2 linked regions of the Oreochromis niloticus genome follow. The protein of the gene in region 2 binds, or shares a complex with, the protein of the main gene of each other region. Links are inferred from orthologs where the notes say so. Each region holds a gene or a part of one and is shown on either strand. Other genes may lie near its edges. The genes, in order: MICOS complex subunit MIC26 and chchd6a.

The links.
Region 1: chchd6a (region 2) and MICOS complex subunit MIC26 share a complex: the UniProt entries of both Homo sapiens proteins name them as parts of the mitochondrial contact site and cristae organizing system (MICOS) complex. The link is inferred for Oreochromis niloticus from reciprocal best matches to the Homo sapiens genes CHCHD6 and APOO.

What each region holds. Positions count from the first base shown.
Region 1 is NC_031982.2:27,116,836-27,123,585, reverse strand, and holds MICOS complex subunit MIC26, read right to left. Parts: upstream 1,790-6,750; 5' UTR 1,703-1,789; coding exon 1,082-1,702; 3' UTR 554-1,081; downstream 1-553. Other genes in the region: dnaaf6 (dynein axonemal assembly factor 6), read left to right, coding at 2,560-2,844, 3,018-3,086, 3,444-3,510, 3,611-3,716, 3,941-4,037, 5,489-5,574, 5,754-5,883. UniProt on the Homo sapiens protein: Component of the MICOS complex, a large protein complex of the mitochondrial inner membrane that plays crucial roles in the maintenance of crista junctions, inner membrane architecture, and formation of contact sites to the outer membrane.
Region 2 is NC_031984.2:29,252,428-29,259,666, reverse strand, and holds the start of chchd6a (MICOS complex subunit mic25a), read right to left. Parts: upstream 3,283-7,239; 5' UTR 3,148-3,282; coding exon 3,064-3,147; intron 1,469-3,063; coding exon 1,375-1,468; intron 480-1,374; coding exon 365-479; intron 1-364. Other genes in the region: E3 ubiquitin/ISG15 ligase TRIM25, read right to left, coding at 3,986-4,694, 4,874-5,041, 6,338-6,477. UniProt on the Homo sapiens protein: Component of the MICOS complex, a large protein complex of the mitochondrial inner membrane that plays crucial roles in the maintenance of crista junctions, inner membrane architecture, and formation of contact sites to the outer membrane.

The sequences.
Region 1 (6,750 bases), on a different chromosome or scaffold from region 2:
ATATAGAATTGTAAGGTTAACGGCCTTCCAGTCCTTTTTAACATCAACATTTTCCTGATCATTTGTGAGCTCAGTCACTAGTTATATTTCATAAAACATTAAATTTACTAAGTTCTGGTCAAGAAGTCAGAAATTATGATTTTCCAGGAAATGCTCATTGGCTAATAACATTTTATTTACAAGTTGCTAACCAATGAGCATGGACTTAATTTCAGACTGAACCACTGGTTGTTTTGGCGTATCCAGTTTCAAAATCCTAAGCTGGCAATAGCAAAATTGTTCAACTCAAAGCTGAGATTTTACTAATTAGTAGGTGATGTGATGGTGGGTGTGTATGTCGTTTTAACTAGTGCTTCTAAGTACTTCTGGGTCATGCTGTTTTCTACTTCCACTCAACAGTATTTTAGCCATTTCTACTCCATACCATTTACTTTAAAGCTTTAGAATGACTTTGAAGTTTTTACTGTAAAAGCATTAAAATATAAAGCTGAGATATCGAGCATTACTGAGCAGTATAATGCAAATGGGTCTAATGAGTACTTAGTACTACAAATGTTTTGAGTTTATGTAGGATTATGACTTTTTAGCAAAACTTATTTTATACAATATGTTTAAAATCTGTGAGTATAATAATTGTTACCTGTATATGACAAATAAAACTTGAAACTAATACACAATTTCAGATCAAATGCGACTTGCCTACTTTGGTCTTTGTCACCCCATTGAACAAAACTTAAAATAAACGACTGATTATTAAAATCCTGAATTAGTTTTCTTCTCTTTGGTGCTGACCATCTTGTTTGTGCATGTGGCATTACAGGACACAGAATCAAGGCGGTAAAACAACTTTAATGTAAGATACTGCTTTATCTCTACATAAATACACATTCAAATCGGAAGGAAGTCATTCAAGTTGCAAATCCCCCCCTTCCCTTTGCCCGGCCTGAGTTTCACGTGAAGCTTAGTGCAAAGTGTAGGCATGAAAAAGTCACGCTGTCTAGAAAGCGCTCAGTTTACAGTATCGGGATAAAGCTGCTGTGTGATTGGCTACTGCTCGGTTATTGCAGTCACGCCGGGGTCATCACTGTTTGGTCTCGGAGTCGCTGCTCATTTCGGGTTTATTGACCTTCTCAGCTTTGCTCTGGGGGTTTAGGATCTTCTCCGCCGCTGCGTAGCTCTGCACGGCCAAGTCGTACACGGAGTCTCCGGTTGACTTTGCGATGGCCGCTGCTTTCTCCGGGTAGTAGAGAGAGGCGCTCAGGGTCATGAGAGTGGTCGGGTAGATGAGTTTCTTAATCCTGGAGCCTCTGGCAAGAACCAGGCCAAGGACTCCGGTAAAGCCGATGACTCCCGCACGGGGGTAGAAGTCCTTCGGGGGGTTCTTCACATAGGCGTATGCGTCGTTCCCAAACTGGAAGACCCCCTGAACTTTGGGTTTAATTTTCTCATAGGTGACCTGACACCAAGCAGTGTACGGCTCCGCTAACTTCCTGAGGGTGGCGACTCGCTCCTCCAGCTGCCCCGCTTTAGGCTCCACGTACCGAAACTTCTCCGGGGGAGCGGTGTACAGAGACAGTTCGTCCACGTTTAACGAAGCCGCCGCCACCGCTGGTTCCTTCTCGCCGTCACCGGCAGCAGCAAACACGGTGAACGGTGAAAATCGCAGGGCTCCCGGCATGGCACTACCTGTCACCTTCAACATGATCCCCGCGGGCCATGCATTCACTACGGTATCCACGGAGGGACAAGGCAGATAGCCCCGCCTCTCTGATTCTCACCCAAACGCTTTTACTACTCTTGAAAGCGCGCCAACAGTGGCAGGAGGAATAAAGTATATCTGTGAGGACAAGGCTTTCTTTACAGATAGTAATGATGTCTGTGCCCACATCTCCAAACCATGCTTCATTTGGAACTCCAAAGATATGCAGTTTAAAAACAAAGCGTTGTTTCACCATAAATTGACTGCCTGTCATGGATATGTTTGAATGGGTTCGTTATCAATAACGTTGCAAAAAAGGAATAACATACTTGTTAAAGGTAGATTGTGAAGGTATGGGTAAACTAAATACACTATACGAACTATATTTTTAATGACAACTTTCAAATAGGAAGTTAGAATGAGGACTTAAGCAGGCTGCTTTATTTTAGTAGTCTACAATAAAGTCCTCTGTGCCTAACTGGGATATCTGCTGTTCTGATCCACTGCCCTCATAATATGATACTCAAATATTCCACGTAAAAGTCAAAGCTAAGGCAAGGTCTGCTACCTGAGGTAGGCTAAACTGGATTAAATTATTAGTATTTGCATCACTTACACTATTTTTTTTCTCCAATGTTTCTTTTTAAACAGTTTTAACAGCTGTTTACAGTACAAGCATTTAGCCTGTAACAGCGTCCTATAAAAGTCACCCAGCAGCCATCTTGCTAACGCATTCAGGCATAATTATGACACCTATTTTAAACCATTACGTGAATTACCTTTCAGTTAAATTCAAATAGTCAGTGGGACATTACATTAATAAAGCAGTCGTTCATTCTTATACAACTCTGTCCTAAAACATGTCTTTAAAACCACCATCTTTGTTTCTTTTTGTTTATTTGTTTGTTTTCTCAGTGCCTAGTTTTTCTCGTATACAGTACAGTATGCATTATTCTCAAAGCTGCTTTAAAAAAAGAGAGCTAGAGGAGATCGTTATATTAGAAATTCCCTGGCAAGGCTTCTTAGCTCACGGCTATCTGCGTAACCGTGACTCTGGCCACGTAATTTGTTCGACGTCACTGGTTTCCATGGCAGCAGGAAAGCCTGGCGTCTCCAGGGAAACAGAAAGCGTCAACAATCCAAACGTGAGCTGCTAAAATTAGTATACTAGCACCAATTAAAATAATTGTTTTGTTATAGTTGCTTATAGTTTAGCAGCTTTTTCCTCCTTGTTTGTGTCCGCTGCGCTTTTTATTTTTATTTTTGTTTATTTGTTTTGTTTTTCTGAATGGATTGTCTTGGGGTATCTTCCGAACAGAGCCTCCAGGCTCTGTCTGCCTTGTTGTCCAGTCAGCAGGACGAAGAAGAGGAAGATGAGGAGTGTAAAGTAAGATCTACATGCATCCATGTTAAAGCCCTGCTAACACTAGCTTTTAGTATCTTCCTCGGAAATTGTTGTCTCTTTACATTTTTCAACAAGCAAAATTTTAATCCTATGTATATAGCAAGGGTAATCAATCAACACTAGCAAAATGAACATTTAAAAATAATTTTTCAATAAAATATACATTTTAGGGTATTTAGAAAAGTGGTGTAAGGTTTATTAGTCTGCAGGTGTAGGCAGGGAGGACCAATGGGGGAATATGGAGTAAAATAAAGTGGAGAGAATATGTATCATTGTATTTCAACTACAGTAACCATTAAGCCAAGTCTCCCCCACACTAATATTAGTTTATGTTAACAGGATGTGAAAGCATATGCACGCTTGGGTCCCGGACACATTGGCCCCCCACCCAAAAAAGAAAAACAAGGTACTATTTTTCAATTATAAGCACTCCATAAAAGTATTTATTCAAGCATACATACTTTTTCTGCATCTGCCTTTCTCTCTTTATGTGACTGTTTAATTAGTGTCAACCGCATACACGAAGAAGAACAGCAAAGATATCTGGTGTGAAGAAGAAGTGGCCGAAGGCTCACAGTATGATGATCTGACTGACCCAAGGCCACAACCTGAGTAAGACTGCAATGCAGAAAGAGACACACACCAACAGTGGATGTAAAAAAGCATCAAACGTTATGAAAAGTGGATATTTAAAGGTTCAAAAGAGTCCTCATACTTCTTCAAACACTGTCTGTTTCTGAGTTTAGTCTCCTTCTGTTCAAGGTAATGTCTGGTAATGTGATATTTATTGTGTTTGGTTTTAGTGTGTCTGCTTCATTTATAATCTCTGTGTGCAGGTATGAAATAATCCTGAAGCAAAGTGTAGGAACAGAGGATCTCTTCTTGGGATTAAGCAGAAAGGATCCATCCTCCATGTGTTGTGAAGCCATGCTGGTAACTTGCCAAGTGTCACAAGATTTCTTAACACTTCACTCAGTGCACTTTTTTGATACTAAAATGAAATGCACAAGGTTGTGATCAAGAGCAGCAAGGCATGAATCTCCTATTAAATGTTGGCTGGCTTCAGATAATTCTGTTGAAGACGTAGTTAGTTTTAGACTTTAGAAAGGAACAGTCTAAAAATGTTGAGGAGCACAGGTGAGACAGGTTAACCCTATAGTGACCAGGCTCTATATACGTAAAAAATATTTAAATGCTTCTAATAGTGCTTATCTTTCCTCTACTGTTCACCTGATCTCTGACAGATACTTCAAAATGTTCTCAAATTGCTAAGATTGTCTTTGTCTGTTACTTTGTGTAAATATGAAATGTTATGTATATTTAAGGGAATTGTGTGTTTTAGTATGTTGGTATCATTTTCACTCCAAAATACAGATGAACTGACTTGCTGACTTACAATACTTTGATCAGCAACAAATTACAAAGAAGACATCATAGATCAGGGTGTTTTTTTCATTGTCTTTAACTTCCAATCTTCTAAACAAAATCTAAACAAAAGTCTTGTTTGTAGATTTATAAAGCTGATTTTGTTCATCTAGATTTCAGTGGGAGAAACATTTCATCACTCACCCGGGTTACTCCTTCAGTCTCAGCTGACAGCAGGTTCCCCCAAACTTATAAACAATACAGTAGCATAATGAGAGGAAGCACCATTGCTTTCATGATCAGAACACGCATTGTCATGACCACTCTTCAGTGGCCATGAGGACTATTCACAGACCTTCTGGCTCTTTGTTAAGCAATGCTGCTAGTTTCAGTCATTATGCAAGCGTACTGTGTGTAAGGTTCGAGAAACCTGCATTTAGCTGAGACTAACAAAGTCACTTGGATGGGTGATGTAGTGTTTCTCCTACTGAAATCCAAATGAAAAGAATCAACTTTCTGGGATTTCCTCACCTGTATTATTGAGCATGCATTAAAACATATGTAAAAATATTTCCAATAAATAATAATTGGAGTCTGTATTTAAAATACTTTGTGTTAAAACACTTATAAATATTGAGATTACATCCATTCACTCTTTTAGATTGGTCATAGTAAGATGCTTGATTCTGGAATAATCACCGATATGGCACAATAATTACAGCAACTATTTAGGTACTTTCAACTACTGGAAGGATCTCCACAGCAGATCCACATATTTGATTTGGCACACATTTTATGCTGGATGCCCTTCATGATGCAACCATTTATCCTGCTTTGAAATCAACATAGTACACTAGCTGTTTCAGGTCTCAAACTGGGATGTTTCACGTGTAATGTGTGTTAACCTTTAAAAAGTGGAAGTAGAAGTAGAAGTTATATTCAAAGCAGGAAACAACTAACAACATATTAATGTGAACAGTGTAGAATAATAAAGATGCTAACTTTTCCCTCACGTGTAGGTTAAAATCAAACTACCAGACACTAAAGCAACAGATGTGGTGCTGGATGTGAAAGAAAAGTTCCTTGATCTACGGACGCCAAAATAGTAAGAGATCCTTTGAAAATGTAAGCTTTCATTTTTAATTCCCTGAAGACTTAGAGGCTTATGCATGCCAAGATCTGAGCTTTGATTGCTTTATCACACAACTCTTAATGTCTTTCAGTATATCATCCCCCCCTGAGTGCTACTTGTTTTTTGTAACCTGCCTTTCCATCTGTTTTCAGCAAACTGGGGCTCCATCTCCCTGATCCGGTCCACAAAAATGAGAGCAAGGCCCAGTTCTTCAGTGAGAGGGAGGAACTGGAGGTGACTCTACTAATGAAGCGTCCTATGGATTTTATCAATATGCAATGAAAAAGGATGACTTAGCAGCAATTACCATTATACAAACTGACACATTAAGGATTAAAACCAGAAAGGAATTGGGAAATAATCAGCAAAAACATGAATTTTTTCATGAATTTTGTGAGTTTAAGCTATTGTTTGTGTCATCACAGCCTCTATGACTGTTAAATTGTGGATTTCTAATAAATACTTGACTCCAAAATTGATTATTTTCATTTTTCGCCTGAAATTTCTACACCCAATACCCTACAATGACAACATGAAAAAAATTACTTTGAATTTTTTGCAAATTTGATAAAAATAAACAAAAAACATACAACATGTACAGATGTATTCAGCCTTTGCTCACCATTATGCAAGCGTACTGTGTGTAAGGTTGGGGAAACCCTTATTTTGAGGAACACTGAACATGATACCTGCAACTATCTATTTTTAAGCAATCTTTTATCTGCATAACATTTACCATTCATGGTGCATATTGCAATACAACAACTTAATGTAGCTGTTATTACTGACTTCCATGGTGTACACATCTTAATGTGGTAAACAGCTTAATTAATCTTTGAATTCAGGTCTTTTGAGGCCATTTTATACAACTTTTCACTGGACTGGAGCCTATACCAGCAGGGCTAATATATAGTGACTGAAAAAAGATTCACAGTCACAGTCCCACCTAGGAGAATTTAGAATTACCAATGAATCTTTCCTCATTAATGTCTTTGGGCTGTGGGAAGAGTTTTGAACATGCAAACTCCATACAGGAGTACCCAGAGCTCAGTGCTGCCTGAAGATAATATACAAGAAAATTGCTCAGCCTTCATTTTTAAAAAATGCTTTTATATTCACACAAAACTTAACGGAGATGCTGCATTTACT
Region 2 (7,239 bases):
AAACCATGCATGATGCCCTGCAGGTTAAATTAGTAAGGACTCTTTTAGAAGAAGCTCTTGATTTAAAGGCTCTCTGAAATGATAAGCGTCAGATCATATTTCTGAAACCTTCACAGTGTTGCATATTATCCTGTTACAGCTCATTTTAGTTTTTTTGATTGAGCCTTCAAAAAAAATGTGGCACACCATCCATATTTTTTGTTTTCTTTCCAACGCAAACAGCAACACAACCTTGTGATTTATAACAAATCACAAAAAACCTTTTGCTCTGATATGCAACAATTCTATTTGCAATGCATACAAATGGTCACCAGGCAGAAATCAGCTTAACTCAAATCTGTATCCTGAATTTCCTTTAACCCACCTCCTCTGATCTTCTTTGCTAAAGGAGGCCGATTTGCTGTGCTGAGAACTGGGTGGGGCGCGCTGCTGTGGGCCTTGCTGAGATTGAGAGCCTGAGCTGGCACTGTGAGAGGAGGCTGAACAAAGACAACAAATGTTCAAAGGACAAAACTATCACACAAGGTAACAACAACACTGGCACTTTTGTGGCTTACAGCTTTACTGTCAAAATAGGGACAAATGCACATGTATAATTAATGCTATATAATCAAACATAGTTGAAGTTTACATTTATATATATACATATATAGTTTGTATGAACTGTAGCTCAAAATTTACTTTAGGTCAGACATTTAGTTGACAGTGAATATGTGTTATCTTATCTTAAAAGAAGTGTAAAACTCTATAAATTTTCTTGCAAATTTTGACTACTTGAAAAGCAACAGTCAATTTCAGTAAATTAAATTCCACCAAAGAAAGAAAGTAGTGACTTTTTTTTTCTTCTTCAAAGGAGGACACCACATCTTTTCCCTGGCTGCCAAAATCATTTCACGCTCTCAGTTTATTCTGACACAGGTTTCCAGTTAAAAAGCTGAGGCAACACGTTTTTTTCTAAAAGAAGTATTTTCTCGTGAGGTTAAACACTATCAGCTGAGGTGATACGTGCGTTTACAGATGAGAATCGAGAACCAGTTCCAAATTGTCTACTCCATTCGAATTGTATGTGTCAAAGTTTATCAAGTTCTCACACGATGTTGGCACATTGTACTCGCAATTGCACATGGCAGAACAATGATGCCAAATTCACAGCGGGTGAGGCTTTTTGTTTTACACCTGAGTTTCAGTCAGTGTGTTCACACTGAGAGATAATAAAACTGTTAATGCTGAGACTCCGTGAAACCTACCCCCACAAATACAGAGAGAATAAACTGTCAGAAATCAAAAGGGGAATAATTAAAACAAACTGGTCTGTAAGCAAACTCGATAATGGCGGAGGCATCAATAAAATTTAATCTCAAAAATGATCACTACCTGTGTTTGTCTGAGGGCTTGAGGCAGGTGATGACGTGCGTTCTGGGGCAATGTTGGCAACTCCTCTCATTCTTTGCAGAACATCTTCTGACAGCTGGACAAACAGAGTCAACCACAAATCATATCATATACATGACGTGTGTTATTTATTTAAGAGAAAACAACATTTGTGTAATCCTTCAGATAAAAAACAAACAAACAAGAAAAACATGCCATTAATAGAGGATCACTGAACCTCTAGTGTTTGTGTATCTGTATGTGTGTGTGTGTGTGTGTGTGTGTGTCTTTGTGTATCCAGGGAAGTCCTTAAGCACTACTACCCCAAAAACCACAGAAGGGAGCACTGACTCACTGTTTCTATGAGTCACACTGAATGTGCAACCAAGGCAGGCTCTTTTCTTACAGACATTTTAAAAGCACTTTGGGTGCTCAGAGTAGAAAAGCACTACATAAAAACTGGTCAACTTACAAAACTGCTCACAGCCATTGCATGTCATTGCATTCCACCACAACATATTAATTTTTGACATGCTTCATTTTCCAGTGGTTGTTTTTCCTCATAATGTTAGGATATTTGGAGGCACACACCCACACCAGCTGATTTTCTGTATGTGTGTGCATGCAAGAAGAATAACTTAAGAATTTTAATTTGCCACTTAATCACACACGCCAACAGGCTAAAGGTGAAACGAGTACACATCAGCATCATTATGACAATGCAAGAATCTCCACAAACGAGTTCAGAAACGAAATAAACATGGTGGTGTATGATTATCTAACTGATGTTGTCAGCGCTTGACAGATGACCGAAAGCTCAGCAAAACTAGACATGCCTATATCCTGTTCAAAATCATTTCTAATTGTTGTTTTGTATATTATCGTTTCCTGTTTTAGAAGACGACAATTTAGTTATATATGCAACTGCATTAGTGTTTCACTGGTTTCACTTACATACACTAACTCGCTCTACTCTTAGATGTTCTAAAAGTATAAGCTAAAGTTAAAAACATATGTCCAACAGCACGTGAAAGCAACACTAAAGAGGCGTCAACTCCATACCAAACCTCGTTTGAAATTTGCTCATTTAAAGCCATCCACTTCTAATTACACATATGGTTAGTTAAAACAACATATCAGGCAGTTATGACATTTATACGATTCTCCCCGTTTTTTCGATACACACTTACTGTGCAGCTGACATGTTCCAGTAGGATAACAGCGTTCTTTAATGCTCTTTAATGCAAACTAAACGTTTTATCGCGTTAACGTTGTTAGCAAATGCCAGCGAGTAGGTGACAGCTAAAATGTTTAATTTCGGGTAATTAGTTTTCCTGCTAGGTGGGCAATGTATATGCCGAATTTACCTTAAGGTCCTAAAGTTTTCTATATTTCTTAGACCATCTCCCTAATGTATTCCTTTACTTGTGAACAAGGAACATTACTATTTTCACCTTATTACCAATGGAGTTTGGGGTAACAAAAAGATTTACGTATTTCAGCTCTTTCAGCAACCTATCCCACCCTCTGCGTCCCTTTGCACCTCCTCATTTTAGCAGTGACACTCTACCGGTCGTAGACTGATAGCTTGAACAAAGCAACAACTTAATTTGACAATAGCCAGTCAGTGCTAAGCGACACATTAAAGTAATGCTAGCATGGCTTCTCAAGTGCTAGCTAAATTAGCATTACCTTGACTCCACGGAGAATTCTGACCCTGTCCTCATCGTCGACACCGAAGGACACTTTTCTTGTTGTACTCTCTCCCGAACCCATGCTTCTGCTGCAAACGCACAGCTTTCGTGGTGAGAAAAATGTTTATAATATGAAATAATGTTGCTGTCCTGCCCAATGACAGAATGTGAGACAGATGGGATGGGTTGCCAGGTTCTTCGTGAACCATCCTCCTCTTGCACATGTGTAAAGGTCAGATCGTGCGTTGGCAAGAAATGATAAAATTGCGTGTGAAAACGAAATTGTTAATAAGAAATTATTAGATGTGTGTTCTGGGGAAAGTCATATCAAATGCAAATTGCTTAATCGCTTTTTTTTTTTTTAAATCAAGGATTTACAGGCACACCTGGCAACTCCAGGGTCATACTTGAATGGCTGAAATATCAACAGCCAATCAAAGGCTATATACGGCATAGATTATTTCTATGCACCTGTATAAGTATTGAGACAAAGTTGGTCACAAGACGCACAGAAACATTGCCAGATAAGTTTATTTGTAGAATAAACACAAAACATGTCTCAGTTTGTCCCTAAATGTCAGCGTCTGCGCACACCAGTGTTTACTGTATGGGGGACAAACACAACATTCAACACGTTACAATAACATTTACAAAACACACAAAATGAAAACATGATCTTGTGACATAAATGTTTATGCCTCAAGATCTCACAAAGGTAATAGGCGCCTGCATTGATAAATCTACTCTATTAAAACACCCTAAGTATGAACAACAAATTTTTGTAAACAATCTCATGTGATTGTAATGCTAAATGTATACGATGCAGCAATGCCAGGCAGCAGACACATTGTTGGTTTTTGTGTTAGCTGGAAGGCAGTTCACTTGGCTGACTAACAAAGCAATTTCTATGCAGGACGTATTCACATCCCACTGCTCAGTGTGATCCAGGAGTCTGGTGTGTTTGAATGTATACCGAACGCCGGGTAAACAGGCTCTTTAAACACAGCCTTTAAGGTGTGGAGGTGCTCCCTGCGCCCTTTGGTGCTGTGGAACGTCAAAGTTCCCCCCTCATAGTCCAGTGTGACCTCAATCTTGACCGGTGGTGTGGTCACTTCCTTAAGGACCACATTCGAGGAGCACTGGCACACTGTCAGCTTGCCATTTTTCCACTGCAGCCTCCAGGACACAGTGTTGTGCCCCAGACGGCTGTGGTCACCACGGCGAGGGATGCTCTTGTAGCACACACCCAGTGACCACATGCTATTGGGTCCCACTTCTACAACCCATACGTGCTCGCCGCCAGAGAAACCCTGGCTGCACAGGATCTGAGGTGTGCTCGTGAAACGCTCGGGGTGCTCCGGGTACGACTGCTTGTTGGAACTGTATTTGACTGTGCGCAGATCGTTGGACACCAGCAGGTTGGGGTGGGCGGTGTAGATGCTGAAGGTGAGTTCCAGTGGGTTGAGGAGGATATGAAGAGAATCCATGAGGCGAGTCATTTCTGTGCAGAAGTCTTGGGTTTTGAGGCCTCCCTGCAGGAGCATTGTATTGAGTGGAGTCTTTGAGGGGATGTAGGAGGGAATGGCACTGGTGACAACATCTCTCAGCTTTTGTTCAATCTGCATGAACCTGGAGAGCAAAGATTTATTGTTACTTACCCCACTCATCTAGCCATATGCCATGGGTAATAAACAGAGAAGTGTCAGTTTATCAGTAAGAATACTGCATCATTTCCACTTTCTTGTCATTTGTACATTGTTCTATGTATTTCTTCTTTTTAATTGTAATAGCAGGGCAGATTTCTGTACCTGTGTATAAAGATGCATGTGTCTGTCTCATTGAGGACCTCTGTGGCGCTCTTTTGGGCCTCCATCAGCTGCTGCTGCTGCTCCTCAAGTGCACTCATACCTAGCTGCCAGCTTTTGCGGCGCTGTCCTCTCTCCTCCTCCAACAGCGAAAGCAGGCGATCCCTGTACCTGTATCACAGCACAGCACACAAGTGAAGAGGACTGGTCAGTTTTATTCCTTTTATTATCGCAATGTTACTAGACAGAATCAGGTGGATCGATTCATCACTGTGTCTGCTTTAGAGTTGTACATGCATCCATACAATGAGAAATACTCACAAAGCTCAGAAAATATTCACCAGTCTAAGTTTTAATCTGTGCTAATTAGATAAGGTTAGCCAGCTAGCTAGATCATTTAAAAAAAAATCAAACAAAAGAGCTAAACAGATAGAATCTAATGATGTATGTGAGTTTTTTGTTTTGTTTTGTTTTTGTTCTTTCAGTAAATACCTGGTACTGAGAAAATGTCTGTGAGATGAAACTGGCTGAAATGCTGCTGGCAGGCTACTTAAATGATAAGCAATGTGCTCAGAGGCACACCCAGAAGTTCCTGAACTTCCAGAAAGTTCCAACCCTCAGCACGAACTTCCATATATTTATTCAGACTGACAACATATGACATAATAAACTCCCCCAAGAGTCCCTAAGCCCCGGGAAAATTCCTGCTATGCATGCTCAATATTTTTATTTAGCTTAAAGTGCAACTAGCTCACACACAGCCTCACTAATGTGACTGAGCTCTACATTTCAGTCTTACTGCCTCACTTCCAAAGATATACTTTCTTGAATGTTTTCTTGAACTTAAAGTAGAAAACTAGCCTTTTGTACTCTTTACTCTCAGTAGATTTAAGGATTTATTTTAAAATCCTCATATTTACATGCAGAGTACTAAAAGGCCAGGCTTCAGATTATTTATCTCTCTGTTGAGAATGTTATTGATTGCCTGTTTATTTCATTGCTTTTTATTGACTATTATTGTACTTAATGTCCTTTTTTATGTGGACAGTGCTTCAAATCTGTGTAAAGTGGTTAATAAATGAACTTACTGAAGTATTAGGGTGTTATAAACACCCTTGAATCTATCCCACAAAACAGACACTGGTAGGCTTAAAATGCAGATAAACTGCATTCATTACATACATGCATGCTACATTCTTTGAGGGGCCTGCGTTTTGGTCTGTATTTTTATTTGCTGCTGAAAATATGAAGCGCATCCTGTAAATTCGCTTGTCAGAGAGAAGGTCCGGAAGGAACACTGTTCTACCACCTCTGAAATATGCAGTCTGGGTTTTCCACACCTTTTTTAAGCCAATATCATTTGTCATCTTGCTGTTTGAAAACGTACTGTGCATGAACATTTCCTTAATTACACCACATGCTACTTTTTAAGGCAGTGTTACTAGCAGCAAATGTGCAGCAGGTTACCTGTCCACCAGAGCACCTATGCTGTCCATGACTGTCACAGCCTTGCTGACCATTTTGTCTCCTACAGCTTCAGAGGCTCCCTGATCCTCTGCTGTCTTCTGCAGGAGTCCCTCTGTCAGCTGCAGTCTACTAGAAATGACCTGCAAACACACATATAATATGTTTTAAGATCTTCTGTGTTTCACACAACAGGATTCTTTCTATTGTGTATAAGCATAAAAGATTTCAGATCTGGAAAAACTGGATGGCCTTTTCTCGTAAGTGGCTTTCAGAAAACAAGTAGAGAATACAGATCTATATATACATATATGTAGTACTGTAAATGTCTGTAATGTTAAGTAATATATGATCATGTTCCATCAACATTTGATCATTTTCTTGTCCAAAATATTAATTTTTACATTCTGACTTTGTACTTTTACAGTGTATGTATAGCACGACTCTGCCAAAGGTCATCAGGTTATTCCCATCAGACAGATTTGTTTTGCATACCAGATCTTCACCACTCCCCGAAAATGGCAGTGAGTCACTGAGGTGCCAAGCCCTTAATTTATATGTGAAACAAGTTAGGTTCCCATGTCTGTGTCCCATATGCATAGAGCACAGTCTTTTAAACATTGTTCCAAAATTATATTACAGGATTTTCAGGTTTTGGCATTTCTCAACAGTAAGTTCCCTCACATATTTTTATAGCATGAATCATGCATTTGTATAACTTGAATATTTTATTCATCAGTATACAAGCCCTGGCTGAGCACTACTTTCACTTTTGTGCATGCTCAGCTGAACCAGATGTGGCCACATTTTGTAGGTTATCAATTAAAAAAAAATACATATATATATATATACATATATATATATAGACATAATAATCCCCCTTCCTAATATTTAATGCTACAATA